7 linked regions of the Xenopus tropicalis genome follow. The protein of the gene in region 6 purifies or fractionates together with the protein of the main gene of each other region. This does not show direct contact. Links are inferred from orthologs where the notes say so. Each region holds a gene or a part of one and is shown on either strand. Other genes may lie near its edges.

Region 1 (4,304 bases), on a different chromosome or scaffold from region 6:
ATGATTTGTTTTGCGAACATTTGAAATTCTGTTATTCGGTAAAAAGACCCCCTTTAGGCCCTCTCTTCTTATTTTTTCTTCCCAGCAACATCTGCATCTATTGCTATTAACTTTTCACACATTACTTAAGCACCACAAATGCTAATCCAATTATGGATTTTAGAAAACAAATGCATATGATGTGGTTTGAGTTTTTTGTACTATAAATAAGACAGTGTTTCTGCTGTGTAAAATGATGACCAGTGTACCTATAGGTATCAAATTCAAGCATCCTAGGCAACAGGCCCTGTTTATTTAGCAAAATGAGCACATACTAATTTTTTTTTTTTTTTCTGTATAGATTCTGCATGTAACAGTGCTCCAGGCTCTGGTCCAAGCTCTCCAAACAATAGTTCAAGTAACATCAGTTCAGAAAATGGCATAGCTGGTCCTTTAGGAATCCAGACAGAGGTAACTGGGGAAAAACACTTTTATTTGATGTGAAATAACATATTGATTATATACTGCCGTTTCTCTGTTTTATGTTTCTGATATTCTTTATCAATATGTTTCCTTCTTGTTTTTTTCAATTTATCTATACATTTTACTTCAGGCTTCACTGGCTCACAGACTTGCGAACAGGGAGAACTCAGTATCGCAGCTCCCTCTATACACATCACCCTCTTTACCCAATATTACGCTAGGACTGCCTGCTAGTGGTTCTACCAATGTAAGTACACCTGTCTCAAAGGATTCTGGAATAACAAATATTAGTGGTGGGTAGAGACTTGGTCTACTATGGGGAGGAAATGAAATGTACAAAAGACAAAAGTACAGTTTAAAAATCATATTAAACCTGGTAGCCAGAGAATAATTGCTTGGTGAGGCTACAATTTTGTTGTTGTTTTTACTTTTTTAAAATATTTGTTGTATTTAATTTGATTTTTTTAACCTTCCAGGCTCTCATTTAAACCACTGCCTCCTTACTAGGGTCTTGTAGGTTCTCATTCAAACATCTGCCTAGTATGATAAACTGTACCTACCCAAGCAACCAGCTAGCTGTTGAATTTCCAGACTGGAGAATCTAAATAATTTAAATCACAAAAAATTGCAAACAGTGTATTGTCCTCTACAGACAGTTGTATCCACCACTAAATTAAAAAAAATAGTCTTACTTAGAATAGAACTTTAATTTTCAATTAAAATAACTGTGGGTATGTGCATGACAGTTTACTCCATATCAGCCTGGTGATTTGAAAATACATGTATGACCTAATTCCTTTGAGCCTATTTAGTTCTATGCTGACTATATAATTTTTGATGGTGGCCCTCAACTAATGTTGTCTTTAATTTTTTTTTTTTTAAAGGTCAATTTTTTTTATTGTTTTATAATACAAAAACAAAACATTGATATACGTATAGGTTCCAGGTCTATAAAATGTACAATCATTGGAATAAGTATAGTTTAAGTGCAGGTTATAGCAAGTACAAAGTGGTACAGAGAAAAATAGCATCCTGAGTACAACCATGGTGACCAGATACATTTAAATTTGTTCTGGGGAGCCCTGACCCCTGAGGTAAGCTTTATAAGTGGTATCGCCTTATTGACTAGTTGTTGCCATGAGAGGACACTAGGTGAGGTAGCTCCCACCCAGTGCATCGCAATATCTTTCTTAGCATAGTGTAGCAATGACCAGTACCTCTTGCGAGCATAGTTGGTTGGAATGATATCATCTAAGATAGATACCCAGAAGGCAAATTTTAGTTGACATTATGTGAGGGAACTCAAAATCATTTGCATGATGGCATAATGTTTTGCCTGAAGAGTTGGCTATTGGTGGACATACCCATATCATATGGAAGAAGTTTGCATTTGTTTGTCCACACCTAGGACAGGAATCATCCATCATTTTCCCAATTTTAAGGAGTAAAATGGGGGTAATGTAGGTTTGGTGTAGAATTTTATACTGGACGAGTTTATCTCTGGTGGATATTAAGAAGTTGTAGCAATTCTCTGTTGCTTCCTCCCAGTCCTCATGGGTTATGTCTGGTATTACCTGGGTCCATTGGTCCCTTGCAAGGGCAAAGGGTTGCGGGACTAAGTTTAGTATGGTTTGGTATAACCTCAAGATCATTTTGGAGTTGTCTGGTGAGTGAAAGGTCTCTTCTAGTGGAGTGATGCAGATTGCTGGTTGGAGAGATGAAAATTGGGCCTTGAATGCGTGCCTGAGTTGTAGATATTGGTAGAGTGGATTATGATGTTGGGTGTATTTTTTGGGAGATGTCTTGGTAGGTGGGGAAATTTGTGTCTAGGGTAAGATCCCCAAGGTATTTCAATCCTATTTGAGGCCAAAAAATGAAATTTTGGAGTTGTCTGAAAGAGTCTAGGTGCGAGTAGCCCCACAGGGGGAGTTTAGGGAAGAGCAGTGGCGGAGGGTTGCCCAGGAGCTTAATAGCCATTTGCCATGCTTTGTATGGGCTGACAAGTGTGGGGAGCAGAGGGCCAATGCCGTTTATGTGGCGATATGGGAAGTTTTGAAGCCCAGCTATGGATTCCAAAGGAAGTGATTGTAAAAGCCAATTTGGATTGTGTGGATCTGGGAGGAAGTACCAATGTAGGTAATACAGTTGCGAGGCACAATAGTACAAGTACAGGTTTGGGAGGGCTAAGCCTCCATCACTGTATGGGGCAGTCAGCTTTCCCCAGGCCATTCTTGGTGATTTATTGTTCCATATGGAAGGTATTAGAATTTTATTTATTTGCTTGAAGAAGTTTTTGGGAAGTACCGTGGGTGAGTTAAGAAGGGTGTATAGAAATTTGGCTAGGTATATCATTTTGAACATGTTGATAAGGCCCCATAGAGTGAGAGGGAGTTTGGAGCAATGTGTGAAGTCATCGGTCATGGATCTGATAATTGGTTGGAGGTTCAATTGAGCATATTGGGTAGTGTCCTGGTGGATCACAATGCCCAGGTACTTGAAGGAAGTTACCCATTTCAGGGGGTAAGTCTGGCAGGGGGAAGTAGTCTATGGGAAACAGGAGGGATTTGTCCCAGTTAATGTTGTCTTTAATTTTTGATCAAGCCTTGTAGTGTAGGTAGATTGTGATCTGCCAAATTATTTTTAGGGAATACGCAACTATTTTTATATAATTTGTTTGAAACTAATTGGTATTTAAAGAAGAACTGAGCATGAAAATGTAAAGTTCATTTTAGAGTGAACCTTCTTTTAAATATGGAAAAGCATACCTCCCTTAGTAGCTATGTTACCTGTGTTTTTCCTACCATGGGATCACAGTTTGGAATAAAAATGTTTTCTTAACTACCCATGTCACTTTTTAGGGTGGATCAGGACAGGAAAACGAATGCCTTCCTCTGCCTGCTCTACAACAACGGCTTTCCCTGTTTCCAGCTGCTCACCTCACTTCTTACCTTGGACCTGAGGCCACAAGCTCTCATAATCAGCTCTTACAGCATATGGTACTACTAGAACAGCCTGGTGCGCAGAGTTCATTGATATCAGGTAAAGCATAGGAGGCCTAAAACTGTGCGTATTTTAACTGTTTAGTACTGACTGATATTGAATGGTGTTATTTCTTTTAGGTTTGGGGACCCTACCACTTCACTCCCAGTCTCTTGTGTCACCTGATCGTGTATCCCCTACCATGCACAAGTTACGTCAGCACCGTCCTTTAGGTCGTACTCAATCTGCTCCACTCCCACAGAATTCACATGCCCTGCAACACCTGGTCATCCAACAACAGCACCAGCAATTCCTGGAGAAGCACAAACAGCAATTCCAGCAGCAGCAGCTTCACCTAAACAAGGTGTGTTCCTTATATTCCTTATATTTATATCAGATATTCAGCATCAGGGAGAATTTAGATCCGTATAATGTAATAGTCATTTCACATAGCACACTCCATCAAATCATTATCATATGACTTTGTTGTTGATGTTATATATGGACCATTATCTTATCAGTTGCCGCTTGTTCTGTTGCACTTAATGCCTGGTATTGTCTGTGTGGGTTGAATTACTGCATCACTCCACTTAGGTCACTTATGACTCATTTCCATGAAGTCAACAAAAACCACAGGCATTCTGTTGGGACTTCATATCATTATAATTGTTATCAAGTATCACTGTACAGCAGAAGGGTATATACATCAAACATACTAATTACATACACATACTGACTGAAACAGTGGGAGGTAATGCGTGCTCTGCTCATTAGAGTTTTCAGTGTAATTTTAGCAGCTGTGTTTACATGTAGTACACCACATTCACTGTATTCTTCTATCTTCTATCTCTATTTTTTTTAAT
Region 2 (4,304 bases), on a different chromosome or scaffold from region 6:
TTACATATGTTTATATAAAAGGCATTGTTCTTCTTTAAATGGGGAGGTGTACCCCTTTGTTCAACATGAGTTCTTTGAATGGGGCTTATGCCAAACATACTTTTTGCCTATTGTTTTAATCACAAGCGTCTACATATTTTGTAATTCCTTGAGCTAAACAAGGCAAATGGGGAAATTGAAGCTACTCTATGGTTGGTCCTAGCAAGGGAGATCATTTAGATTTCCAGTGCACATATAATCCCCTCCCCCCCCCCCCCCCTTGCATAATGGACTCCTGCTAACAAAACAGGTATAGTGGTGAATGGAGAGGATTATATGGTGGTAATCTAATTATCTACTTCACAAAGACCAAACATGGAGTAGGCTCAATCTCTCTGTTTGCCTGTTTAACTCAAGAAAAAACAAAATCATAGATTTTTCTGTAACTAAAACAATAGGAAAAAATATCTTTGTCACAAGCCAAAATTATTGTACTCACATTGAACCAAGGAGATATACTGCCCCTTTAAAGCAACTTCTACCATGGTGAATATTTGATAACATTCTCTTGCTTGTGATGGTACTTTTAAAAGTATATTTATTTTTGTTGTGTAGCCAATTCTCTACAGCAGTGCTGTCCAACTTTTGTGGTACCAAGGGCCATAATTTTTCCGGCCTACATGGTGGAGGGCCGATAATGGAAGCCAGTTTTGACCAGTCCCCTTTTTAAAACCACACCCACTTGAAACCACACCTATGTTATTGCATGGCCATAGCCATATTAACGGTGATAGCACAGCAAAAACCTGCCATACTCTGCCTTCCCTACCCTGCCTGTGTATGCCATACTCTGCCTGCCCTACCTTGCCTGTGTGTGCCATACTCTGCCTGCCCTACCTTGCCTGTGTGTGCCATACTCTGCCTGCCCTACCTTGCCTGTGTGTGCCATACTCTGCCTGCCCTACCTTGCCTGTGTGTGCCATACTCTGCCTGCCCTACCCTGCCTGTGTGTGCCATACTCTGCCTTCCCTACCCTGCCTGTGTACCATACTCTGCCTGCCCTATGCTGCCTGTGTGCCATACTCTGCCTGCCCTACCCTGCCTGTGTGTGCCATACTCTGCCTGCCCTACCCTGCCTGTGTGTGCCATACTCTACCTGCCCTATGCTGCCTGTGTGTATGGCACACACAGGCAGCATACAGTGACACAAACAGGTGTGGGGCCACACAGAGGGGGGTCGCGTGCCGCCAGTTGGACAGCACTGCTCTACAGTATTAGATCATTAGACTACTTTGGATATAGTGCTTTGACCATTCTTGTTTAAAGGAGAAGGAAAGGCTAATAAAGTGTTAATCTCAAGCTGCAGGCATACCTTCAGTTGTCTCAATAGTGCCCTTAAGTCTCCCCATACTTCACCTGTTCAGAAGATCAGAAGCCAAACAGGAAAAAAAAACGCTGAGCAGGGTAGAGAAGATTCTCATAATGCATCGCTCCTTCCCAGACTTGGCGACTTGTTACCTTAGGCGGCGCATGCGCACACAGCAGGAGCGTCTGGTTGCCATGGCGACGCAGCGACAGAGAACTCTGACATGCAGGTGGGGGGAGCGGGGGTGCGAGTGCGGGGAGCGGCGGAGGGTTTGTGGCAGGAGCGGGGAGCGGCGGGGAATGGGGGTGGGTGAGTATATCTCTTCCTGACAGTGCAGCGTTGTATGGCAGATGCGAGTAGCCGCCAAGCTGCGAGCGGGGGGGGGGGGGGGGTGCTGCCGGCGGAGGATGATCTCTGACATGCTATGGGGGGGGTTTGTGGCAGGTGAGCGGTGAACGGAGCGGAGGACACTGTGACATGCTGTGGGGTGGGGGGGGACACTCTGTGACATGCTGGACAAGATGGCGGCGCCGTTCACTGAAACAAGTATGTAGGTTCTAGTATGTGTATCTCTGTAAATGTTTCATTGGGCAAGCCAGAAATATAGTGTTTTTACACAGCAATAGTAGTACTATTTAATCGTGTGCTTAATAGATTTTGACTTTCCTAGTCCTTTAATTCTTATCTTGCAGAGATGGATGATGAAGACTGTGAAAGACGCAGAATGGAATGTTTGGACGAAATGTCTAACCTTGAAAAACAGTTTACAGATCTCAAAGATCAGTAAGTAGGCACTTGTGGCAGTTGTCACAGGATGGATATTGCGGTATAAATGCCATAAAGAGAACCTCCTCCTACTCAGTGATTTAATATAAAACTGTCTTTGTATCTGTTTGGTCTTCTTTACAAATGCAAAGTCCAGCAACTTACTGATATTGGTCTGTCCGCAGTCATGTCAGTCATTGTGCCTGATTCTGAGCTTTCGGAAGGAGCCAGTGCTACATGTTAGAACTGCTTTCAGATAACCCATTGTTTCTCCTACTCCCATGTAACTGGAGGAGTCCCAAGCTGGACTTGGATTTTTTACTCTTGAGTGCTATTTTGATATCTATACGAAAAAACGAAAAAACAGCAACGAAAAAGTCGCAACATTTTAGTTTCCAATCCGATTTTTTTTCCCATTCAGATTCATGGATTAGTAAATGTGCCCCTTAGAATTTGGTAAGGAGACAAAATTGAAAGCATGTCCTGACTGGTACGCTTTGGATTCTGGCAAATGCCAGAGGGGCTGCTTGTAAGATACCATAAATAGTGAATGTTTGGTGGGGGGGGGGGGGGGGATTGTTTGACCCTTTGTGTACTTGAAATGCCAGGGCCTATTTTGGATCCCAGTCCAGATTGAAACTATTTGTTCTAAGGCACAGCATTATGCAGCTTATGTACTGTCACATGTACTATTAGCGAATTGACCTTCGCTTGTTATTGTTATTTCTAGACTTTACAAGGAGAGGTTGAGCCAAGTGGATGCCAAACTGCAGGAGGTAATAGCAGGCAAAGCACCAGAATATCTGGAACCCCTTGCAAATTTACAGGAAAACATGCAGATCAGAACTAAAGTGGCAGGTATGAAAACTCATCATTGGTGAGGGCAAGAGGAGCTGACTATGATCAAAATGGCTGGTACTCCTGTGTGGTGGTGTTTCTCGTGTGTGTGTGTGTGCGCGTGATTTTGTATGTGTTATTTCTGCATATTATTTTTTTTTTTTTTAAAGAACTCTAAGTGGATATCTATGTATAACAATGCAAGATAAAATGTTTCCTTTTTTTTAAGGAATATATCGTGAGCTGTGCCTAGAGTCTGTGAAGAACAAACATGACTGTGAAATTCAAGCAGCACGCCAACACTGTGAGGTACACATTCTTTAGATAAAATGTATGTAATTAACATTTTGCAGCAGAAATACTTTCTTGGAACATAGTGAGTTTCTGTGGGCTTACAAGTTTGCTTTCCATGTTGAGTTTGGAGGCCTTTGCCATCAGGGCCATGTAAATGTTTTGCATTCCCAGAGAAGCTATTGCTGCGGTGCCTGGTTATAAAACGTTTATCCATTTATATTAACTTCACATTCCTTCAAAATTGTATATCAAGAACCAACAAAAGAATGTTTTTTAAATGTTTAATAAGCCCAATGCCTGTTTAACTTCCTTTACATTAGGGAGTATTTTAGGTGCCATTTTAAAGTTGCAGAACAATCTCCAGATATGCCCACTTGTGACACCTTTACAGTTAAGCTGCCTTTTATGGCATTGTATTTAATCTGAATCACTGGCAGTAATGCATTTAAATCGATTGCCATTGTATTTTCACATGATTCAAATGTTTTACCAGCAGGGATTCAAATTGACTTCAGTACATGCTGAGGTTATTTAGCACTGGTGACAAAATATCACATATGCCATCACTCTTGGTGCCACCATGTGCAGTCACCTTTAGGGATTGCTTTTTTTAATACTTTGTATTGCATTTACAGTATAACTGAATTTTACATTTCCCAGTGGACTACTTCAAAACAATGTAAATTCTGAGGAAAACATAAAATTCAGAAAGGAGAAAGCGCAGTTTGCCTGTGTGTGACCAGGAAAAATATTGCCCATTCCAGGAAAATATGAAATCTGTGTTCTACTCAATTTAGTTAAGCAAAACAAAATATAGCCATGATGCAGAACTGTATTAGACTTCTCTATGGCATCATGAGATTTAGATTGTTACATTTATACTGCAGTAGAACTAAATGCTCAGCCAGCAAAAAAAAAAAAAAAATCTGCACGTTTTTGCTAAAAAAACAAAAACACTTGGTAAATAATAAACTATGCATCAAACTTCATTTCAGAGTGAAAAGCTGTTGCTTTATGACACCGTTCAGAGTGAACTGGAAGAGAAAATACGTAGACTGGAAGA
Region 3 (5,062 bases), on a different chromosome or scaffold from region 6:
TATGAAGAAAATACACAACTTTTACCAGTGCAGAGCAATAGTATATAATATATGAATTATTTTTACACACTTTAATTTTTTTGTGTTACTGTTCCTTTAAATTTAATGGCTGCCGAGCATGGACAGCCTGCTTCAAATCATCCCATAGATTTTCAATGATATTCAAGTCGGGGGACTGTGACGGCCATTCCATAATATGGAATAAATGCCTTTGTAGATTTCCAACTGTGTTTAGGGTCATTGTCTTGTTGGAATATCAACTTTGTGAATGATGTTTGAACATTATCCTGAAGAATTTGTTGTTATTGGGATGAATTCATCTGACCCTTGACTGTAACAAGGGCCCCAGTCGCTGAACTAGCCACACAGCCCCACAGCATGATGGAACCTCCACCAAATTTGACAGTGTTCTTTTTGTTATGACCAAATAATTTTTGTCTCATCAGTCCAAAGCATTTTGTTCCAAAATGACTGTGACTTGTCTAAATGAGCTTTTGCATACAACAAGTGACTGTTTTTGGCATGAGTGCAGAAAGGGCTTCTTTCTCATCACCCTGCCATACAGATGTATGAATTGTATAACGATGTACAGATTCACCATCTACAGCAAGATGTTCTTGCAGGTCTTTGGAGGTGATCTTTGGGTTGTCTGTTACCATTCTCCCAAGCCTCTGCATATGCCACTCCTGTATTCTTCTTGGCCTGCCAGATCTGGGTTTTACAGCAACTGTGCCTGTGGCCTTCCATTTCCTGATTACATTCCTTTCAGTTGAAACTGACAGTTTAAACCTCTGAGATGGCTTTCTGTAGCCTTTCCCTAAACCACACTGTCACTCTTCAGAGGAGACTCTAACAGAAGCACAACTTGCAATTGGCCACCTTAAATACCTTTTCTCATGATTGGACACACCTGCCTATGAAGTTCAAGGCTTAACGAGCTAACCGATTTGGTGTTGCCAGTAATAAGTATTGAGCAGTTACATGCATTCAAATTAGCAAAATTACAAGGGTACCCAAATTTTTGCACAGCCAGTGCATGATTTAATTTCATACAACTAAATACTGCTTCACTAAAAATCTTTGTTCAGATTACACCCCAGTACTCAGATGTTCCTAGGAAATGAAAGACATACCACTGTTATCTTTTTTGTTAAAAGTGGAGTAAACTATTATGCAGGCTGAGAGGGGTTCCCAAATGTTTCATATGACTAAAAACCTCAAATGTGTGCCTCACTCACCTGAGGTAGGTTGGTGGTTCTGTGCTAATAGAGACTGCTTTATATTTCTCATCATTCCCATCAAGGATCTCTTCAACTTCTGAAGCTTTTAAGAGAGTAACACTGGTAGCTAAAGTGGTATATCCATGATCTAAGGAGGAAGAAAACAGCAATATGTAAAAGGTTTAAAAACTTTATACTTAAAGTAGTTCGGTTACATTAAAACAAGAAATTATGAATGTGGCAAACTAAGGGAGGTCATCTTAAAATTATAGTAGAAACAATGTTAATTGCCAAAAGCTGGTTGAAAATAGCTTAGATTAGGTATTCTTAGACAATCTGAAATGGTTTACATTTTTGTGAATTTTGAATTCTGTAAAGCTGTCCTAGCATGGCCAGCTTTGGTTGGCAGATCTGGACCCTTCAGCCCAACTGTCTGAGCATGCATGACAGGTTGGGGTGGGTTTCAACAGACCATTGTGCAACAGAACAGGATGTGTCCAGCTGGCACATCCCACCAGATGAAACCAGCCTGGACCTATCCGAGTTATGTTCTCAATACTAGATGTACAAGGTCTGAGGTATAGGTTAAAAGTTGTAAATTGAAAGCACGTCGCAACTAAAAGAATCTGTAGAAGGGCAAATGAGGTAGTTGATATTTTTGTTGTAAAATATATGTTGAATAGATGGTATTTATAATGTGGCCACCTAGGTATTTGAGCCTGTGATGATTCCAGGAAAAAATCCTGGAGATATCAAATATATGTTTCCCCACAATGGTAGCCGGGGAATAATAGTGGTGGGGGATGGCCCAGTAATTTAAGGTAGAGAGGGTATTTGCAGTTGCGGGGCATCCTTGGAGTCGGTAGTGAAAGCTATGCAGGTGCTTGTAGATTGTAAGCTCTTTTGGGCAGGGCCCTCTTCACCTCTTGTATCGGTTACTGATTGCTTTATATGTTACTCTTTATGTCCAATGTATGTAACCCACTTATTGTACAGCGCTGAGGAATATGTTGGCACTTTATAAATAAATGTTAATGTAATGTAATGTGTTCCACAGAGGCCAGAAATATCCCACGGAAGCAAGTATTTGGGTTATAAGGTTCTAGAACAAAGCACCATTGGAGATAGTAGACTTGCAAATCCAGATAGTACAGGTAAAAATTCGGAAATCCCAGGGCTGCCATAGACAACTGGTGCATTCAACTTAATCCAAGCTGTTCTTTCACCAGACAAACCAGGTAAAAAAAACTACTAATATTTACATTTCTTTCCATGAGAAGACGCTACTATTTTCTTCCTCTCTTCTACTGTTGCCAACCGTCTCCAAAGGGAAGGGTACCGTTTATATAATGATCCCCTGAACATGCGCAAGTAATTTCCCACCTGTAAATAAAAGACAAAGTATTTAAGAGTCAAAACAATAATACGTTTTCAGGCTGCAAAATTTGGTCACAGACCCAAATATAATGTGTACACCTTGAAGTGACAGCATACAATGAGGCGCTACACAACACAGCAGGCCTCCAGAAAGGAGGATTTAGGGGAAAGGTAGGAGTTGCAGCCTATTTCTATTACAGATGTTTTGTTTACCTCATGCTTTCTGTTGCTGCACTTCTAACCAGTCAGCTGCACTTTCAAATTCATCCCCCATTGGCCACCTCTCCCTTCACCAGTGCGTTCAACTTGTAGGTCTAGCTGCTTTAAAACTACTAGCACTTCCTTCATTCTGGGAGTGATGAGAGCTGTAGTGAAACAAGGGCCCGCCGGTTGGATATACCACTCTTTTTTATCTAACTAATAACCCGCCCCCCTTTTGTTATTGTTTTGGTTTTTTTCTTTTACACGCATGAAGATTTACAGAAACCTTGGTCTCGCCCACAACAGTGCCTGTAACAAAGAAGGAATCCTTTGTCCCAAACCCCTTTCTCCCCCACGTTTGTATTACGCAGCTTCAGCGGAGATGTTTAACGTTTGCCCTGGACTCGTACCTCGGATCCTATCATGTAGTATTCTCCATCCTCTTCCAATTGAAATTTCACTGGCTTTTGGCCAAACGTTTTACTTAACGCCATGATCATCCTGCCTCCGTTCCAACACCGGGCCCACCGAACAGCGCATGTGCCAACTACGTAGTACACGAAGCGCAGGCGTCAAGGGAACTGCATAAAGCGCATGCGCGGCGTTTCAGCGCACAACTTATAGCTGCCTGCGGGCGTAGTTTGGTTGTACGCTGACTAAAGTAGCGGCTTCGTAAAATAGTTTTACTTAGTATTTTTATTAGTGCGGAAATACTAAAGATCAGCCAAGGGTTGCCACTTTTTCTAGAAAAAAAAATACCGGCCTTTTAATATTTTGGAACCCGAAACCCACAGTGGACATTAACGTTTAAAGGAACAGTAACACCAAAATATGAAAGTGTTTTAAAGTAATTAAAATGTAATGTACTGTTGCCCTGCACTGGTAAAACTGGTGTATTTGCTACAGAACGCTCCTATAGTTTATATAAATAAGCTGCTGTGTAGCCCCGGGGGCAGCCATTCAAGCTGGAAAAAAGGAGAAAAGGCACAGGTTACATAGCAGATAACAAACTGTGTAGAATACAATGGCATTTGATCTGTTATCTGCTAAGTAACCTGTGCCTTTTTTCATTCGAATGGCTACACAGCAGCTTTGCTTATATAAACTATAATAGTCTTTCTGAGGCAAACACACCAGTTATACCAGTGCAGGGTAACAGTGCATTATATTGTAATTACTTTAATACACTTTCATATTTTGATGTTACTGTTCCTTTAATGATATGTTTAGTATGCACGGCAGCTCATGTCTTGAGAGGGACCTTGGTGCAAAGTTTGCAACCATGCCCATGGGGTAGTAGTTACACCACTCAACAATAGGCCATTGGCAGCCCTCAAACCGAGTATGGACTGGATCGGCAGGGCCCTGGCCCTTGTAGGCTGTCCTGACCCAGTTTTGCTCCCTCCTATAACTAGGTGCTGGCCCACAGTCCTTTTATCACAGTTGTAAGGAGAAAATGCAGTAGGGGGACGGGGTTTGATGTCGCAACTGGGATGGAGGGTCCCCAGGTGGCAGTCCCATTGGGCCCCCGGCCGCCCCAGTCCAACCCTGCCCTAACAAGCAATTAAGGGCTATGAAATAGACCTGCTGCAACGTTCCCTCATTACTTTTTGGCTTTGTGTGCAAAAAACTTGTGTGCATACATTTTAAACTTGTGTGCACGTTTTTAAAAACTGCTCAGGTAAAAATAAATACAAAATTGTTGTGTGTGAGCGCACTGCTTATAGGGAACATTGTTCTGCAGAGATGCCAACTGACCTCAGGTTATAAGATAAGATAATGATCCAATCCTGGATATTTCATTTTACATAGTATTTTCAGCTGGCTGTGAAACACCTAAACCAGATGAGAAGCATGTAATTAATATTAATGGAAACATTAATTTGGATGAAATAGCCCAGGATCCTTTCAAGGATTTTGGCACTTCTCTGCTGGCTGAGAAAAGGCCGGCCACTAGCACAGCAATAAGTGAATGCCATAATTTTTCATGCACACATGCACAAACTAATATAGGTTTTATTTCTCCTGACCCAAATTCCTTGGCTTTAAAACTCTTTGTTCTACTTGCAAATTGATTATACAGTCTTGAAAGTAGGATAGGACATTTGTGTTTTCTATTTGCAGGATTAATTCTTTACAGTATACAAAACCAAGGTCCTTTAGCCATTCCTCAGATTTTACTTGCCGGTGAGAGTGCTAAATATCATAGGAAATACAGAGAATGCCAATCTGCATTACAGTTTTTAAATGAACCATATCGCTAA
Region 4 (4,886 bases), on a different chromosome or scaffold from region 6:
AGTTGGCAGGCGAGAAATCCATATGCGCTATTTTAATTTTGGGTTCAGTACACACCACAGACTTTGGTATATCTATGCATATTGGGCATCAAACTGTTCAGTTGACCTTAGGTGTTCCTATTTGGGGTGAATTGCCTTTGTATGCAAGAAATTGTGTGAGATAAATGCAGCAAACTGCAACATTTTTATGCGATTTTCTCAAATGTCATAAAACCACTAACTTTAGGAAAGCTTTGCAGATTGGTACTTTGGTGTAGAAAGGACTCTTTACTCATGTTAGATTTGTCAGAATGTGTACTTTCCAAAAATATAAGGTTTTCTGGGGGTCTCTGTATAGTTAGGGGGTGATACGGCACATAATATGCTGTCAGGGGGCTCTGTGTGCAAAAGCTGAGTTGGCGAGAAATCCTTATGCACTATTTTCTTTTTGGGGTCAGTACACACCACAGACTTTGGTATATCTATGCATATTGGGCATCAAACTGTTCAGTAGACCTATGGTGTTCCTATTTGAGGGAAAATCACTTGAGGTGATTTTTGGAAATGCCATAAAAATCGTCAAACTTAGGAAAGCTTCGCGGCTTGGTACTTTGGAGTAGAAAGACATGGGTACCCATTTTAGATTCGGGGGAAAGTGTACTTTCCAAAAATATATGACTTTCTGGGGTGAGCATATGTTTTACTAGCGTTATCCCACATATAATGATGTAAATGTGTTGATTTTGCAGAAGCTGAAATGATAGATCATATGGGGGTATGTTCACATTGGGGCCCCTATATGCCACATACTTAGGTAAACCTATACATATTGGGCATCAAACTGTTCAGTGGACCCCTGGACCCCTCTTGGTACCTAATGATAAGTGGGAGATAAGATGCTGGAAACTGGAAGCTTTGAGTGGCTTTTTCAAAATTTCCAACTTTAGGAAAGCTTTGCGGCTTGGTACTTTAGAGTAGAAGACACGGGTACCCATTTTAGATTCGGGGGAATGTGTACTTTCCAAAAATATATGATTTTCTGGGGTGAATGTACTTTTTACTAGCTTTATCCCACATATAATGATGTAAGTGTTGATTTTGCAGAAGCTGAAATGACAAATGATTGATCATATGGGGGTATGTTCCCATTGGGGCCCCTACATGCCAAATACTTAGGTAAACCTATACATATTGGACATCAAACTGTAAAAACAATAACTTTAGGAAAGCATTGCAACTTGGTAGTTTGGAGTAGACAGACAGTTGTGCCTATTCTGGATTCCCCAGAATCTGTTCTTTCTAAAAATGTATAGTTTTCTGGGATAAACCTTCTGTTAGTGGAATTTTGGCCTTAAATACTAAAAAGTATTCAGCTTTCTGGAGCAGTGCTTTGGAAATTTGGTAGTGTACTGCTGGGAGTTTTTGACCTACAGTATACAACTGAGAAATCTCCATAAAACTATATATATTTGGTATTGGCACGTTCAGGAGACATGGGACTTTCCAAATCAGTTGTATTTTCATGCATAAAATACTTTTTGTTTCTGGTGTATGTGTTTATATTATGGAAAATATTTTTTTTTCATTTTTTAGACATTTAGAAGCCTATATCTTGTTACAGAATCGGAATTACACAAAAATTCTACCATATTTTAGCCATCCTGAAAAAAACAATATATTGTTTTCCCGAGGAAAGGCCCCTAAAGTGAAACAGTGCAAAATGTTCAAAAACTGTATGGCAGTAGAAGTTCCACTTTGTCAAAAACGGCTGGCAGTGAAAGGGTTAACAAGTATTAAACAACCTGATAAGAATGGACTGAAGAGGTTATTTTTAGTTTCTGAGGCTACAGTATCAATGCATGTAGGAGTGTGTAATCATGCTGATATTGCAAGCTTCAGGAAGAAAAGCATTTTTAAATCTAGTGGTGTAAGTACTCTGTGCTAGGCCCCCTGCAAAACAAAAATCGTTAGAAGGGCACAGCACAGAGTAGCAAACGTACCCTTCCCGACCACGTGTCATCCCTACACGTCATCCCTACACTATGACGCATTCCCTGCCCCCTCCTGCACTTGTCTGTCAATTCTTGCCCCCGCCTGATTCCTACCTAGAAGGCGCTGCTGTGCCTATTGACGCAGGGGAACCCTGGAGCTACTGCCACCTCCTGACAAGGCATTAGCTTCAGGATTCTTCAGTGCTCTGAACCAATAGGCACAGCACAACTGCATCAAGAGAATCGCTGTTTGCGCACTGTGGGAAACAAATATGGCGGTGCACTTTGCACACTGCATCTAGGTAAGTGAATGCACCCTTCAAATAAAGTCATTCTGTGCTGTTTTAAAAAAAAAGCTGATAAATGGCTTTATCGTGTCAAATTAAATTTTATATTGTGATTTTTCAAGGACAAGCTAAAAACATAGAATTGCCACTGTAAATGTATCACAGTTGGCAGCTTGGTAAGTGTCCTTGATATCATGGCACTGCTTTCCACCATATCACAGTGACAGGGAACGGTAAACAACACTTTACTCATTGTTCAGTTCCTATCAGTAACCAGCTCCCTCATTCAGATAATTCCAGCTCCTTTAGATACTGTGGGCTAAACCACGCCTTGCTCAGTTGTGAATGAAAACAGTCTAGTAGGAATAAAGTTCAAGGGAATTTTAGCACACGCAGTCACATTACTGTTCAACTTGCTGAGTATATAAAAGATCCAATCACCTACTAGTTTGGCAGAACTACTGCTTTTCTTTATGTGTGAGGCACTGTATATCGGCTCATGTGTTTATCCCCCAGTGTATGCAACACGGAAATGGCTTGCATATCTGAAAAGTTAGGAAAATGTCACTGTAACAGAGATCCAGTTAACAGTATTCTTTTTCAGATGCTTAACAAAGGGATTCATTCAGAGACTAAGAGCCCAAATGACAACCGCAGTCACATCTGCTCCTTGGCTAGAGAATGCCCTTGTGAAGGCAACAGAAGAGTGTCTCTGAAGAACCCTGAGGTGACTTGCAAGACAGCATCAGAAGTACTACTAAAAACTGTGGCATTCATTAGAAATGTACCATCCTTCTATCAGCTGCCCCAGGAGGATCAGATTCTTCTTGTACAGAACTGCTGGGCTCCACTTTTTGTTTTAGGTCTTGCCCAGGAAAGGGTGAATTTTGAACTACAAGAACATTCTGTTCCCAGTTTATTAAAGAAAATTCTTCTAAATCAGTATGCGAATGTCAGTGACATTGCACTGAGATCTGATAGAGGAGTTCCAGCAATAGAAGTTCAAAGAATTCAGCGGTTTCTATACAAACTCTGGAACTTAGACATCAGCACAAAGGAATATGCTTACCTCAAAGGGATGCTTCTGTTCAACCCAGGTAAGATGGTTCACATTTAAATTTACTTTTAGTATGATGTAGAGAGTGATATTCTAAAACAATTTGAAATTGGTCTTTATTTTTTATTGTTTGTGGTTTTTTGGAGTTATTTGGCTTCTTATTTTGCAGCTTTCCAGTTTGCCATTTCAGCAGTCTGGTTGCCAGGGCCCAAATTACCCTAGCAACCCTGCACTTATTTGAATGAAAGACTGGAATACAAATACAGTAGGTGAGGGTCTGAATAGAAAGGTTAGTGATAAAATGTAGCAATAACAATAAATTTGTAGCCTTAAAGAGCATTCGTTTTTTAGATGGGGTCTGGGACACCCATTTGAAAGCTGGAAATATTCAGAAGAATAAGATAAACAAAGAAAAAATAAAGGGCAATTGAAAAGTTGCTTAGAATTGGCCATTCTATAACATACTAAAAGTTAACTAAAAGGTGAACCACCCCTTTAAAGAGATGTTCAGAAAGTCTATGTCTTGTGCATCTGTTTTTTTGGGCTCACTTCTGCCCCTGTCCATGGTAACCCTTGCTCACTTCAGAAATTTTCTTTTAAACGCTTAAAGAGTGAGAAATATATATTTTTAAAAAATGACTTATCTTTTAGTTTTGGCCTCCATTATTCTCACCTCTATCACCAGTGCCTGGTGGTTAAATATACTGCGATTTATAACCAAATTTGAAGTGTTTTAAGTGAACACATACTTATACAGACCTATATATACACTCACATATATAAACAATATATAACAATATCTATACTAATTCTAGATTTATAGTATCAAAATAAACTTTGATATTAAGCTAATGTGGAAAATCATCCAAGCCCCAAGGCAGTAACAGAATCTGCCATCACAACATCACCTGGCAGGACATTTCACAACCTCACTGCCCTCACCTTAAAGAACAACCTACGCTGCTTAAAATTCAAATGAAAATTCCTCTAAACCAGTGGTTCTCAACCTTCCTAATGCCGCAACCCTTTAATACAGTTCCTCATGTTGTGGTGACTATAAAATTATTCCTAAGACCATTGGAAATATGTGTTTTCCGAATGTCTTAGGCGACCCCTGTGAAAAGGTCGTTCGACCCCCAAAGGGGTCCCGACCCACAGGTTGAGAACCGCTGCTCTAAGCTAAAGGAGTAGCCTCTACTGAATATATATAATAGGATGTCGAACTGGCTTTAGGTTCAATCTTTCAATGGTTCGGTCAAGCTACTGGATATAACTATAAGTAACTAGTAATAGGGGAACTTTCACATACTCAAAATGTAGTTAAGCTTCATCTCATGGAAATAATAAATATTCTAAGAATAATCAATTTAAAATTCTGTACCTATTTCTGAAATAATCAAATTACACTTCATTATCCTCCTCTTAGCAGTCGGTGTCATTATTGATTATCTTTCGAAAGTTTCTTACTTCCATGACATAAAACACAAATTAAATTTTCATTTTTGTAATAGTTCCCATTTCAGAGCTAATCATTCTTAGGCTTGTATTGACCTTTTTTAAGGCTTCTCTTCT
Region 5 (3,595 bases), on a different chromosome or scaffold from region 6:
CTCCAGCTGCTCAGACGGAAGAGAAGAAAGAAGAACCAGTAAAACAAGAGAAAACCTCGCCACCTCCGCCACCACCACCACCAGCTACTGAGCCCATGGAAACAGACCAGAAACGTAAGTGGCCTTCATTTTATTGCCTGAAGCGGTAGTTTTGCGATACTGAAGCACTGCTCACACTCCTTTTTCCTGTTTTTATTACAGCAGAGCCTGAGAAGGTAGATGAGGTGATCACTTTGGATGACAAGAAAGGTGAGTAAAGTACTAAGCAGCCATGCTTAACTTGTAAATGGTTCTACAGTCCATGTGTAACCTTGGTTTTCATGTATGGCCTGTTTTACAGATGATGTACAGGAAGTCACTCTTCAGAATGGTGAGACACCCAAAGAGACAGCTGAGGAGAAAACCAAGAAAGCGTCAGCTGCTGCTGCAAAACAGAGGTTCATGTTCAACATTGCAGATGGTGGCTTTACAGGTAATGTGGGCAGCGGAAGGCACAGGGCTGCTAAAAACTGGATGTTTCTTTAGTACAGACTGTAATGAATAGGGATTCACATTCAGTATATTATTATTAACATTTATATATAAAGCGCCAACATATTCCACAGCGCTGTACAATAAGTATATAATGGAAACATAAACTCTGGGAAGAATGGGATTGAGATATAATATATTCAGATTACAAGGGACAAAGGAGATCTTTGTTTTGGGATGACTAAATAGTGTAATGTAAGGGGCAAAGCTATATCTTGCAGGAGAATTGTAATGTAGCTCTGGAAACTCATGTGGTGTTTTCCTCCAGAACTGCACTCCTTGTGGCAGAACGAAGAGAGAGCAGCCACAGTTACAAAGAAGACCTATGAGATCTGGCACAGAAGGCATGACTATTGGCTGTTGTCAGGAATCATAACGTATCCTTTTGGTCTGGTGTTGCTATGCACACAGTTTGTGTTTCAGCCCATTGATGTGTCTGGTTAAGTTTTTTGTGACAACATACAGCCTTGTATATAATGAGGGCTGGGTATAATGTTTGAATGTTTAGCTGTCTGGCACTTTCATATCACTGCCCACACTTTTCCTGAGCATCGCAACAGCCATGGATATGCACGCTGGCAGGACATCCAGAACGACGTGCGGTATGCCATCCTCAATGAACCCTTCAAGGGAGAGGTGAACAGGGGCAACTTTTTGGAGATCAAGAACAAATTTTTGGCTCGTAGATTTAAGGTTTGTCAGAAATCAGTTACTTTAATGCTTTATTATATTCTCTCCCTTAAGCTGTTCTATCAATCTAACTCCCCCTACCCTTTCTATCTATAGCTTTTGGAACAGGCTCTTGTAATAGAGGAGCAGCTCAGGCGAGCAGCATACTTGAATATGTCCGAGGACCCCTCCCATCCATCTATGGCTCTGAACACAAGATTTGCTGAAGTTGAGTGCTTGGCAGAGAGTCACCAGCACCTCTCCAAGGAGTCAATGGCAGGGAACAAACCAGCAAATGCAGTGCTACACAAAGGTACAGATGCCTTTTTTCTCTTTCTATTGACTTTGTATATCCCTTTGTCTAAGGCTACTCACGTACACTACCGGCCAGCAATAAAATAAGTTGCTATAAAAAAAAAAAATTTATGCCCTGCATTGGGCAAAAATGGTAGAAAAACTCCAGCATTTGTTTCATTTGATGTCTCTCCTTAGTCTTGAAGCAGTTGGAGGAACTTCTAAGCGACATGAAGGCAGATGTCACCCGTCTCCCAGCCACCATCGCCCGAATCCCTCCCGTGGCCGTGCGATTACAGATGTCAGAGAGGAACATTCTGAGCCGGCTGGCAAGCAGAGGAGGCGAGCCTCAACCCCAGCAGGTAAATGCTCAGTGCTGCGTCATTGGTCTTGTACCCTATTTTCACCACTTGACTGTACAATAATGGTCTTGCCTTTCTTTCTGTCCAGCAGATAACTCAGCAATAACATAAACCCCTCCTCTGGTCAGGAGGTCGGAGCATCTACCCCACCTCAAACATTCCCAACCAGAAGCAGAGACCTGGGTGTAGGCACTGGACATGCCACCAAATCATATCCTGGGGAAAAGACTCAGCAGAGCTGAAAGCGAGCCCCGGATGATAAGCAAAGGATACATGTCACAGGAGGATCCTGGAACTGCAAGGTGTCACTGTGACTGCACAAGCCTAAAGGCAGATCATATTGGTGCTGCTGCTTCGCATTGGGGTCCACCCCTTCCTTGGGGGGCAGGGTTCAGGGTCACATCAAACACCCCAAAGGCCAGAAACTCTCCCTGTGCGTAGGAGCAAGTTGCTTCCTGAATTCAGAAGGAAATACTTTGGTTTTTTTTTTTTTTTTTGGTTTTTTTTTTTTGTTTGTCTTTAATTTTATTTGCTCCAGTCCCTCCCTCCCCCCCCCCCCCCACACACTGCCTGGGGGCCCAAAGGGGTGTCACCTAAAAGGACAGGCACCCTACCTCCATTCTTTTTAATACAGAACGCTTTGTCGTATAATAAAACACAAAATACTATTCTGAAAGAGACTGTGCTGTGCTCTCTGACGATGGGGTGACAGCCACGTGGGCAGCACTTAAGGGCTGTGTGATTTGTGCCAGGTTTGCCAGTGGGGGGGGGGGCTGTACCATCTCAACTGGCAACAAGGTGGTTTTAAACACACAGATCCATTGTTCTGGAGGTTTGAAATGGGTTACCTCTGGTATTACCTATTTTCCAGAGAGGTAAGTTATCAGTTTTAGAACTGTTTCTTTTTACTAGTAATTGTTGCATATATGAGCTTCCTATAACTCCTAATATTCCTGTTATTTTATTTCTGAGCAACAGTTTGTTGCAGTGTTTTGGGATAACCAGTTTGTATGAGTAAATAAATGGTGGATTTACTTGCACATATTGTTAGTGGCTGACCGTGGCCCTTTCACTGCCCTGCTCTCTAGCACCAACCAAAAGAAATCTGCAAGGCCTGCGGGGGGAAAGGGGGGGTGGGATGAACATTTAAAGGGGAAACTGGCACAAATGGAAACTAATTAAGTTGCAAGAGTGCTGGTCACAAAGTCAAAATGTCTGCAAGCGGCTAATTCTATTCCACAGATGCAAATGGAATAAATAAATATATATAATACAAGGTGTAGCATATGTAACCAAAAGGACTTGATCAATTTGGTATATTGACTCTGTAAATGATGGTGTCTTAAGGTGGGCGATATCGGGCCAATTTGATCATTTGGCCATTTAAATGGCGGGTATAAGGTCCATTGGACAGAGGACTCTATCAACAAGCTGATGTGGTCCCCGATCCAACGGAAAATCAGACCTGCCCAATCGAGATCTGGCCAATTTTAGGCATCGGTCGGGTAGTCCCATTGGGGTTTCCATACACAAGATAAGCTGCCAGATTGGTCTAAAGGAATCGAATTGGGAGCTGAAATCTGCCTGTGTATGGCCATTTTAAGGGCGAAGGGACGTGGTGATTGGTCGCCGCAATAGGTTTTTTTTTAAAAGAAGCCCCGAGTAATCGCTGTGTGTGTCTTCGCCCTAAATGTCTGTGACTGAGGTGAGGCAAGCAGCATGGAAGTCCCTGCTCATTT
Region 6 (4,304 bases):
TATTATCTATATGGTTTTGCAGAAGGCCAAAATAATAGACCTCTTCCACACTTTTCTTATCTAAATGCTTACTTTTTTCAACATTGTTTTTAATAAGTTTTCCAAAAGTAAATGCTTACTTTGTTAATTGATGGCCTATTTGGACATTAGTCTAGTTTACTTGAACTGCATGTGAAAAACAGATGTAAGATCTATTCGAGAACATAATATGATGTAGTTATACATTGCCAGCCAGCCAGCTACAATGCCCAGGACAATACAATGTTATGTATGTACTAAAATGTACTTACCTCTAAAAAAGATACCTAAGTGTGTAAGCGCATATACAAATAAGTATTGAACTAATTTATGATGCAAGATGAGTGCTTTAGAAGGTTACTTCTCTAGATTCATAACTGGGCAGTAAATATGAAATCAGTTATTAACCATGATTCTTCAGGCTGGATCTGGAAAAAGTAGTTAGACCAGCAATGTGAAAATGCTCTGGAGCACAGTGGGAATCCTGGCTAAAGCCACAGCTGGGTGGCAAAGCCATAAGAGCCAACAAACCCATAGTACTAGCAACACGAGTGAAGAGTTCATCACAAAACGCTGCATTGTGGAGAAAGAACCCATGAAAGTGTATTTTCACACATGTGGTCAAACTACCTGTGATCTGTCTGGGGCATGAGACCCATTAATCACATCTTAAAGGAATAACAGTTCAAACCACTTTAGTGAATACCTATAGGTTCTTCCAAGAGATGCTAAATTGTTATAATAACACCATGCAATTGTTCAATGATAAACTAGTCAGGATATATCAAACTCACCTGTCTAACAATGCTCTGAATCAACTTATCCATAGTAAAGGCAATAAAGGCATGGATAGTAAACATCTCTCGCAGAGAATCTTCATACTGATTGGAGTCCATGTTCCCATCAAGCAAGTTCCGAACCATGTCTAGGAATGCTGGGTAATAATCCTCAGCCTCTATGTCCACTAAGGGAGGATAGAAAAAGTGTGCTTAACCACAAAACCCAATGTATCTTTTGTAAACAGGTTTTTTTAAATCTCTGGATACAGATTATATATTTCTCTTCCCCACTGGAGAGCACCAAGGAACCATAAGTTATAGACAGGTCCCCTTAAGGTTATGTACAGTGTGACTTGGCCACTGATCCACATAAAGGAAATGTTATGCTAGTCCATATCTCAACTGAAAGAAACATTTGCGAGTGTATCTGAATGCACAGTTTCTTCTATGGATGCTCACAGTGTGGCGTTGTGGTTTGCAGTGGCTCCAGGCAAAAGTACAGTGTGGTCATGCCACTGTCTGCGACAGTACTGTGTCCTCCACTTGAAGAGCAGGCTGTGTCAGTCCCACAGCTCAAGTATAGATAACATTTTTAAGGGGATACACGCCCTGTTTGTACAGTATTGTTGATGACAGTTTAAAGAATAAATCAACATAAAAGAAGTTGGAGGCGGATGGTAAAAGAGAAAACAACAGAGAGAGGGAAAGTAGTCAGGAGGCTATTACTGGTAGATACTTTGCATAGCTAATCATAATTCCAGATGCTCAGGAGAAAAAAATGCATGTTTTAAATTATATAAAAATATTCTACTTTATAGTAACATTTCTGTTTACTTACTTGGTTCTTTTAATCGCAGTTGGATAGCTGGGCTGTCATTTTTGTCCCTCTTCAGACCCAGTACCTCTCTTTCCCATTCCCTTTCTCTCATCTCTTCCTCCACTTGTTTTTCTGCCTGGTTGTAGATGCGAAGAAGTCGGGAGCATAGTATCTGATGTAGGCGAAGGAATATGTACCAGTTATTGTTCACATAAAAAAGGTTGTATGCATCCTCCACACCGCGCCACTTCTGTGCTGCTGTATTTCCAAACATCAGCTTAGCCTTTGGAGGACTACTACCCCCACCAACCCCCACTCCATTATGTTTTTTTGTAACCCCATCTTCAGTCTCAGCTGTTTCTTCCTCTTCTTCTTCCTCTACATCAGAGAGCTCTCCCCGCTGGGAAAAAAGTAAATCTGGGATGAAGTGATAGACAATCTGTTTTATCTTATATTTGTCCTCCTTTTGTATGCCAGTCTGTCGTTTTACATGGTGGATGATAAGTGAGGCTGCATCTTCCAGTATCTGTTTGTCATCATAAGTGAGTGTGAGGTGTGGGCCAGAAGAGATCCCAGAATTGTCTTCTGAAGCTTGTTCCTGCCGCTGAAGAAGAATTATAGCGAAGAACCAACTGTTAATTTGCTCAACAGAATACGATTACAGAATGGTTAAAAGAGCTGAACTGACTGCTAAAAAATTAAAAAGCTACAAACAGCTGCTATTGTGAAAAACAAAAAAAATCCATGAAATGTAGTGACAGAATGTCAATAATGTAATGTATCACACAGCTCAGTGCAAACTACTTTCTTGTTGTGTTGTTAGTGATAGCCTATGCAAAGTTTACTATATATATATAACTTCCATCTTGTTGTTTCTTTTTAAGACGTAATTTTACATTTTTAGAACATTTCAAGTTGTCAAACATACAATAAAGAAAATAAATTTGAACGATATAATTATAGCAAACCAAATTAAACATTAGAGGATCTTTGTGTGTTTTGAGTAAACCCCTGTATATAATACACATGTACAGAAGATGTGGAAAATGGAGAATTAGTAATTACTAAATTTTAGCTACATCTCCAAACAAGCAGACCAGATCTCATATGTTCCTTTTCTGGTTTAATAGTTTCTGCCAAAAAGGCAGGCTATCCAGAAACCATTCATGCTGCTTTTGGATTCTATATTAAACTAATTTTAAAGAAATTATATGGTAGCCCTACACCGAATGAATACTGCACCTCAAATAGACAATATAAAACGTATTGTACAGCGCGGCGGAATATGCTGGCACTTTATAAATAAATGTTAATAATAATACAAATAGCAGGCAGTGTCACACAGTAAACATTAACAAAGCTATTATAAAAAAAAAAAAAAAAATCAACCATACCAAAAGGACAGCAGTACTTTCCATTGCCTCAGAGCACCTTCCTCCAAACACCTTTTGCATCACTGGAACCTCATCATATGGACACTTCATCCTTTGATGAAGTGTCCAATGATACAATGTTTATCCATACATTCCAGAACTTCATTAATCAGATTTTAAAGAGCTATGTTGAAATAAACGGAGCCACATACATACAAGATTATTATGCAAGTCTCCCTCTTTTATGAAATGTGTATAAATGTTACTGGTATAAACAGTACACTATGGGGCATATTTATTATAGTGTGTAAGCCAACAATACCAGTGATGTTGCCAAGACCAACTAATCAGCATTTAGATGCTTACCTCGTCATATATGCTCTCAATCTCATTAAGGAGACTCTTGGAACGCAACACCTTTGTATCAATCTGTTTGTAATTGATGCCCTGATGATCTAGAGATTTAAGATAGTACTTTTCGTTTTGTTCCCGCCAGATCTTATTAAACCCACGTTGTGCTTCCCGCCACTCCTCCTCCTTCATTTTCAACCTTAAAGACAGGGTAGATAATGAAAGCTAAAATTTAACAGAGAAATTTCATAATTTTACATGCAAAACTCAGAAATAATTAAATAATGTATTTTCACTTTTTGGCTTATTTATATTATATTATATTATATATATTTCACCTCTAAATCTCATTGTAACTGGTCTTCTGGACAACCATAGGCTTATTTATCAACATTTGAGTTTGTTTTTTAAATCGAATAAACTTGCATATTAAAATAGAAAAATTCAAGTTTTGAAATATGGCTCACACTGACTTCTATAGAAACTCAGATGCCAAACTTTAAATTTAATACCAGACGTTCGGGTTTTTAAAACATAATTTGAATTTTTTTTTTTTTGAACCGCGAAAAGAAAATGAAACTTGAATATTGGTAAATCTCAACCTAACACTGCCTCTGATCCACCCAAATCCTGACATTTCCCGACAAATCCTGACATTTCAAAGCAGTTCAGGCTCCCCTGCTTGTCCTTACCAAAGTCCCCAAAGGCAGCTTAGCATTTTATTGCCCTTATATGATCCAACTCTGTTTAGCATTTTATTGACCTTTTGAAATCACATTTGCAAGGCACTTACCTCTTTAGAACAATGGGTACAGCGACAGCAGGGTTTTTCTTTAGACCATCTATTATATCGGCAGCTTTGTCTGCATATATCCTCTGCAGAGCCTTGCGGTGGATGACCTCAGATGTTCCTCCAAGTGTATTGTCCAGCCTGAATTTGGCCTGGTCCTCTGCAGAAAGCCGTGA
Region 7 (3,938 bases), on a different chromosome or scaffold from region 6:
GAGATTTTGTGATACTCACCGTTAAATCTCTTTCTCCTCAATGGCTTGGGGGACACAGGGCTCCCCTCCCCGGAAGCGGAATCCTCTTTGCGCCATCTGCCATGTTTTTATGTTACATTGTTATAACGGTTTGTTTATGGTTACTTTGGTTACCTCTTTGTTAGACAAAACTGAGCCTCTCTGGGCTGCGCTGTGGGGTATAGCTGAAGGGGAGGAGCATTCCTTTTTTTTATTAATTCCTACCTAGTGTCCTGCCTCCTGCAGGTGGAGCTATACCCACTGTCCCTGTGTCCCCCAAGCCATTGAGGAGAAAGAGATTTAACGGTGAGTATCACAAAATCTCCTTTTTTATTTTTTTAGTAGTTGTTTGTAAAGTATGGAAGGCATTTCTAAGAATACGACTACTACTAAAAAAATAAAACGTTTTTTAATTTTTTTAGTAGTAGTCGTATTCTTAGAAATGCCTTCCATACTTTACAAACAGTCTTTAATCAACTAAACTAAATCTTGTTTCCCCAGAAAAAAGCTGTCATAGACTTTAAATCCAATGGCCATATTTATGACAATAGAATCGTACTCAATGGAATTGATCTGAAAGCTTTCCTGGAATCTTTACCTGATGTGAAAATTGTAAAGGTGAGAGTTAACTTTAGATTTTTATCAAGCACCATTCTTTGCTTTTATGGAAAAACTATTTTAATTGCATTTAATGTACTTTACCATGTTGAGGAAGTCCAAATGTAAATCCTGATGTGTGAAATGTTCTGTAAGGTCTGTATTGCCTTCTATTGATTATGTCCTTACCTTGCCTTTTAAGTGAATATAGCCATATTATGATAGCGGGGGAGGTAGTGGTCAGGTATGGCATAAAAACAGTAGTTGTGGGTACCAAGAGATTGTATAAACTAGAATGTTTATAATATGACCCTAATTCAAAAGTTTGACATTTAGCTGCCCATAGTATAGGATATTGCTATTTTTGAGGTATAGTTGTTTTCTTTGCCTCCTTGCTTTCTTAAAAAAAAATTTTTTTCCCCCCTTCCAAAAGATGAAAGGCCCAGACAGCGGAGATAATGTTGACAATAACTCTGCACTAAACATGCCAGTGATTCCTATGAGCAGCATAGCAGAAGCTGTGATTGAAATGATAAATCGGGGGCAAATTCAGATAACAATAAATGGATTCAACATCAGCAATGGTCTTGCAACAACCCAGGTAAATTTAACAAAGTGATGTGGAATGTAATATAAATGATGGCTAAATATATAGTATAAGTATAATGTTCTTACCTATAAGTGTGGATCTGCTTCAAAAAGAAGCAAGCCTGGAATTTGAGTCATTGTATAGCTTATTCTGATTATGAACACCACTCCGTGTGTTTACAACTTGGACTATTGGTGTTCATTTAATTGTTAAAGTGTTCCCAGTGAAGGCTGAGGCTGACTGCTGTCAGAGTGGGGTTCTGATTTGTTGAACCGGAAGTTACTTTACTTATTATTTTCTAATTAAAACAATAGGCAAAAAATGTTGAAAAAGATGGCATAACAAAGTGATTTGAATATTTTAGATAAATAACAAAGCGGCGACAGGTGAAGAAGTGCCTCGTACCATCATTGTCACCACACGCTCACAGTATGGACTCCCTGAGGATGCGGTTGTGTACTGCAACTTTAACCAGCTTTACAAGATTGACCCTTCCACATTACAGATGTGGGCAAATGTAAGTATATTGTGTTATACAACTGCCATCAATTAAGGTTCTGTTTTATACCTTTTGGTTAGTGAAAGGCACAGCTAGGGGAAAATAACAGCATTTTTGGCCAAACCCTTGTGTGTAGGTTGTCTAGTGTATGTATCGGGTAAATGTAGCCTCAAAGAGCAATTGTTTTTTGACCACAAGGGTCAGCAACACCCACACCCTGTGGATTTACTTAATGCCAAATATATGTACTATGTTGGATCACATTTTGATCAAACTTGCTATACAGGAAGAGCAGATTCTATCTAGATGTGTTGCTGATAGCTTGCCATACCTTACAGTGATACATCATTATCATGTTTTCTCAGTAAATGGTGACAGGGATGTCATGTGACACTTTATCTAAACACAGTCAACTATTTCTTATCCTTATGCACTGCTTAACATCTTCCATTTGAAACTTTTTGTTTGTCCTAGATTTTAAAGCGTGTCCCAAACAGTGTTCTGTGGCTATTAAGATTCCCAGCAGTTGGGGAGCCAAATATCCAGCAGTACGCACAGAATATGGGCCTTCCCCAGTCCCGGATCATTTTCTCTCCAGTTGCTCCTAAGGAAGAACATGTGCGCAGAGGACAGTTGGCTGATGTTTGCTTAGATACACCTCTCTGCAATGGGCACACCACTGGCATGGATGTGCTCTGGGCAGGAACACCCATGGTCACCATGCCAGGTAAAGAGTCTGCAGAAAGTTTCTTTATGCAACAAAAATTAGTATTGTTTTAGGTAATTTAAGTTTTGGTGTGACAGATATTTAATTGTAGCTGTTAGTTATATGTCTCAAGAAGTCTATGAAGATTTTCATTCATCCAGGTCATGGTATATCTAGTATAAATAAATTTGAAGCAACTGGACTTGTTTGGTAATCATTGAAGACGTTTCACTACTCATCCGAGCAGCTTCTTCAGTTCAAGAAGTAAACATGCAGTTGGTGTTAAGCCAGTTAAATTGTATCTGCTGCAACCAGCATTCATACGCATACTGCAGTTCTGTGGTACCCAACTTCATATATACATGCTTATTGACCATTTTAATTATGAAACTTGTATGGTTTTTATATTTCAGTTTTAGCCTTATACATGACTGTGTTTCTAAGTTCCTCCTGGTTCTTGTTAGATTACAATTGCCTGTATACTGTATACTCCCTGCATAATAGGATTCTGCCCGTGTGGAAGCCAGCAAAGGATTTGGCTGTTTATATTATTTCATGTTAAACTAACTCAGTTTATTGCGCGAGAGGTGACCTGTTGCTTTATAATAATAAATTAGTAATGAAAAGATTAGACAGAATGTATTTTCCTCTGAAAGGGCATCTATTGCCTAAAATATTTTCTTTTCCCACCAGTGGTGCAGGTTAACAGAGCATGTGCTCCAGAAACAAAAGGATTTTTGAATGGGTGCTCTGACTCCTACACCGGAAGGAAGCTTGCGGTGGGGGTGACCAAGTTGGGGCACATACATGCACCCCAGTTTACTTGTTATGCCCCCCCTCCCCATCACATGCATAATAAATGAGCTGGGGCATTTACTTTATTTTAAACATGCACGTTCCCCCAGCATGCACCTGGGTCTGCACCCAGAGCTGGGCCCAAAGCTCTCTGTATGTGAGATTAAATAGAAAAATACTATATCCCTCATCTGTAGTAAGGGCTGTGCTTTAAATCTAGGTATAATAACCAGGGCTGTGGAGTCGGAGGCAATTTTGGGTACCTGGAGTCGGAGTCGGCAAAAAATGAACCGACTCTGACTCCCACTAAATTTAAATGGGAATAAAAAAAAAAATAAAGCAAGTTTAAATGTCCCAATTCACAAACAGTCATAATTAATGACTTCTCTGCTATAAGAATAAAGCCCACGTGAGTGACCATAAAGCTTTTCATTGACTGTATGAATGTATAAATACATTAGCATATTAAAAACAGAGGAGTCGGAAGTATCAAACTGAGGAGTCGGAGAATTTATCTACCGACTCCACAGCCCTGATAATAACTGTCAGCCCCACTTGGAAACCGTTACTGGGGAAAAAAATGTGTGTTTTGTTTTTTTTTTTTGTTTTGGTTTTTTTTTCCGAATATGTGATGTCAGTAACTTGAATTATACTCTGTATGGTAACATCTCTTGGTTTTCCTTGATTACATGTGTATGCAGATTTGATGGTATGGCTAACATTTACTGCATTTC

What was found.
Region 1: the proteins of sin3a (region 6) and hdac4 purify together in Homo sapiens (affinity purification with western blotting; 3 studies listed by BioGRID and IntAct, with this or other methods). This does not show direct contact. The link is inferred for Xenopus tropicalis from reciprocal best matches to the Homo sapiens genes SIN3A and HDAC4.
Region 2: the proteins of sin3a (region 6) and brms1l purify together in Homo sapiens (affinity purification with mass spectrometry; 3 studies listed by BioGRID, with this or other methods). This does not show direct contact. The link is inferred for Xenopus tropicalis from reciprocal best matches to the Homo sapiens genes SIN3A and BRMS1L.
Region 3: the proteins of sin3a (region 6) and smarcb1 purify together in Homo sapiens (affinity purification with western blotting; 3 studies listed by BioGRID, with this or other methods). This does not show direct contact. The link is inferred for Xenopus tropicalis from reciprocal best matches to the Homo sapiens genes SIN3A and SMARCB1.
Region 4: the proteins of sin3a (region 6) and nr0b2 purify together in Homo sapiens (affinity purification with western blotting; 3 studies listed by BioGRID). This does not show direct contact. The link is inferred for Xenopus tropicalis from reciprocal best matches to the Homo sapiens genes SIN3A and NR0B2.
Region 5: the proteins of sin3a (region 6) and chd4 purify together in Homo sapiens (affinity purification with mass spectrometry; 3 studies listed by BioGRID, with this or other methods). This does not show direct contact. The link is inferred for Xenopus tropicalis from reciprocal best matches to the Homo sapiens genes SIN3A and CHD4.
Region 7: the proteins of sin3a (region 6) and ogt purify together in Homo sapiens (affinity purification with western blotting; 4 studies listed by BioGRID, with this or other methods). This does not show direct contact. The link is inferred for Xenopus tropicalis from reciprocal best matches to the Homo sapiens genes SIN3A and OGT.

Annotation. Positions count from the first base shown.
Region 1 is NC_030685.2:60,783,946-60,788,249, reverse strand, and holds part of hdac4 (histone deacetylase 4), read left to right. Parts: intron 1-340; coding exon 341-450; intron 451-592; coding exon 593-709; intron 710-3,320; coding exon 3,321-3,501; intron 3,502-3,581; coding exon 3,582-3,805; intron 3,806-4,304. UniProt on the Homo sapiens protein: Responsible for the deacetylation of lysine residues on the N-terminal part of the core histones (H2A, H2B, H3 and H4).
Region 2 is NC_030684.2:108,271,664-108,275,967, forward strand, and holds part of brms1l (breast cancer metastasis-suppressor 1-like protein), read left to right. Parts: intron 1-2,037; coding exon 2,038-2,128; intron 2,129-2,840; coding exon 2,841-2,968; intron 2,969-3,176; coding exon 3,177-3,256; intron 3,257-4,236; coding exon 4,237-4,304. UniProt on the Homo sapiens protein: Involved in the histone deacetylase (HDAC1)-dependent transcriptional repression activity. When overexpressed in lung cancer cell line that lacks p53/TP53 expression, inhibits cell growth.
Region 3 is NC_030677.2:153,167,778-153,172,839, forward strand, and holds the start of smarcb1 (SWI/SNF-related matrix-associated actin-dependent regulator of chromatin subfamily B member 1), read right to left. Parts: upstream 3,301-5,062; 5' UTR 3,299-3,300; coding exon 3,209-3,298; intron 2,604-3,208; coding exon 2,483-2,603; intron 1,369-2,482; coding exon 1,239-1,368; intron 1-1,238.
Region 4 is NC_030681.2:89,464,514-89,469,399, reverse strand, and holds the start of nr0b2 (nuclear receptor subfamily 0 group B member 2), read left to right. Parts: upstream 1-1,731; 5' UTR 1,732-2,756; coding exon 2,757-3,354; intron 3,355-4,886. UniProt on the Homo sapiens protein: Transcriptional regulator that acts as a negative regulator of receptor-dependent signaling pathways. Specifically inhibits transactivation of the nuclear receptor with which it interacts.
Region 5 is NC_030683.2:10,064,471-10,068,065, reverse strand, and holds the end of chd4 (chromodomain-helicase-DNA-binding protein 4), read left to right. Parts: coding exon 1-114; intron 115-201; coding exon 202-249; intron 250-340; coding exon 341-472; intron 473-799; coding exon 800-908; intron 909-1,091; coding exon 1,092-1,224; intron 1,225-1,317; coding exon 1,318-1,513; intron 1,514-1,692; coding exon 1,693-1,856; intron 1,857-1,944; coding exon of another isoform or gene 1,945-1,947; coding exon 1,948-1,962; 3' UTR 1,963-2,532; downstream 2,533-3,595. UniProt on the Homo sapiens protein: ATP-dependent chromatin-remodeling factor that binds and distorts nucleosomal DNA. Acts as a component of the histone deacetylase NuRD complex which participates in the remodeling of chromatin.
Region 6 is NC_030679.2:93,411,014-93,415,317, reverse strand, and holds part of sin3a (paired amphipathic helix protein Sin3a), read right to left. Parts: coding exon 4,132-4,304; intron 3,538-4,131; coding exon 3,354-3,537; intron 2,219-3,353; coding exon 1,636-2,218; intron 983-1,635; coding exon 813-982; intron 1-812. UniProt on the Homo sapiens protein: Acts as a transcriptional repressor. Corepressor for REST. Interacts with MXI1 to repress MYC responsive genes and antagonize MYC oncogenic activities. Also interacts with MXD1-MAX heterodimers to repress transcription by tethering SIN3A to DNA.
Region 7 is NC_030684.2:44,060,555-44,064,492, reverse strand, and holds part of ogt (UDP-N-acetylglucosamine--peptide N-acetylglucosaminyltransferase 110 kDa subunit), read left to right. Parts: intron 1-519; coding exon 520-636; intron 637-1,048; coding exon 1,049-1,216; intron 1,217-1,568; coding exon 1,569-1,721; intron 1,722-2,177; coding exon 2,178-2,430; intron 2,431-3,938. UniProt on the Homo sapiens protein: Catalyzes the transfer of a single N-acetylglucosamine from UDP-GlcNAc to a serine or threonine residue in cytoplasmic and nuclear proteins resulting in their modification with a beta-linked N-acetylglucosamine (O-GlcNAc).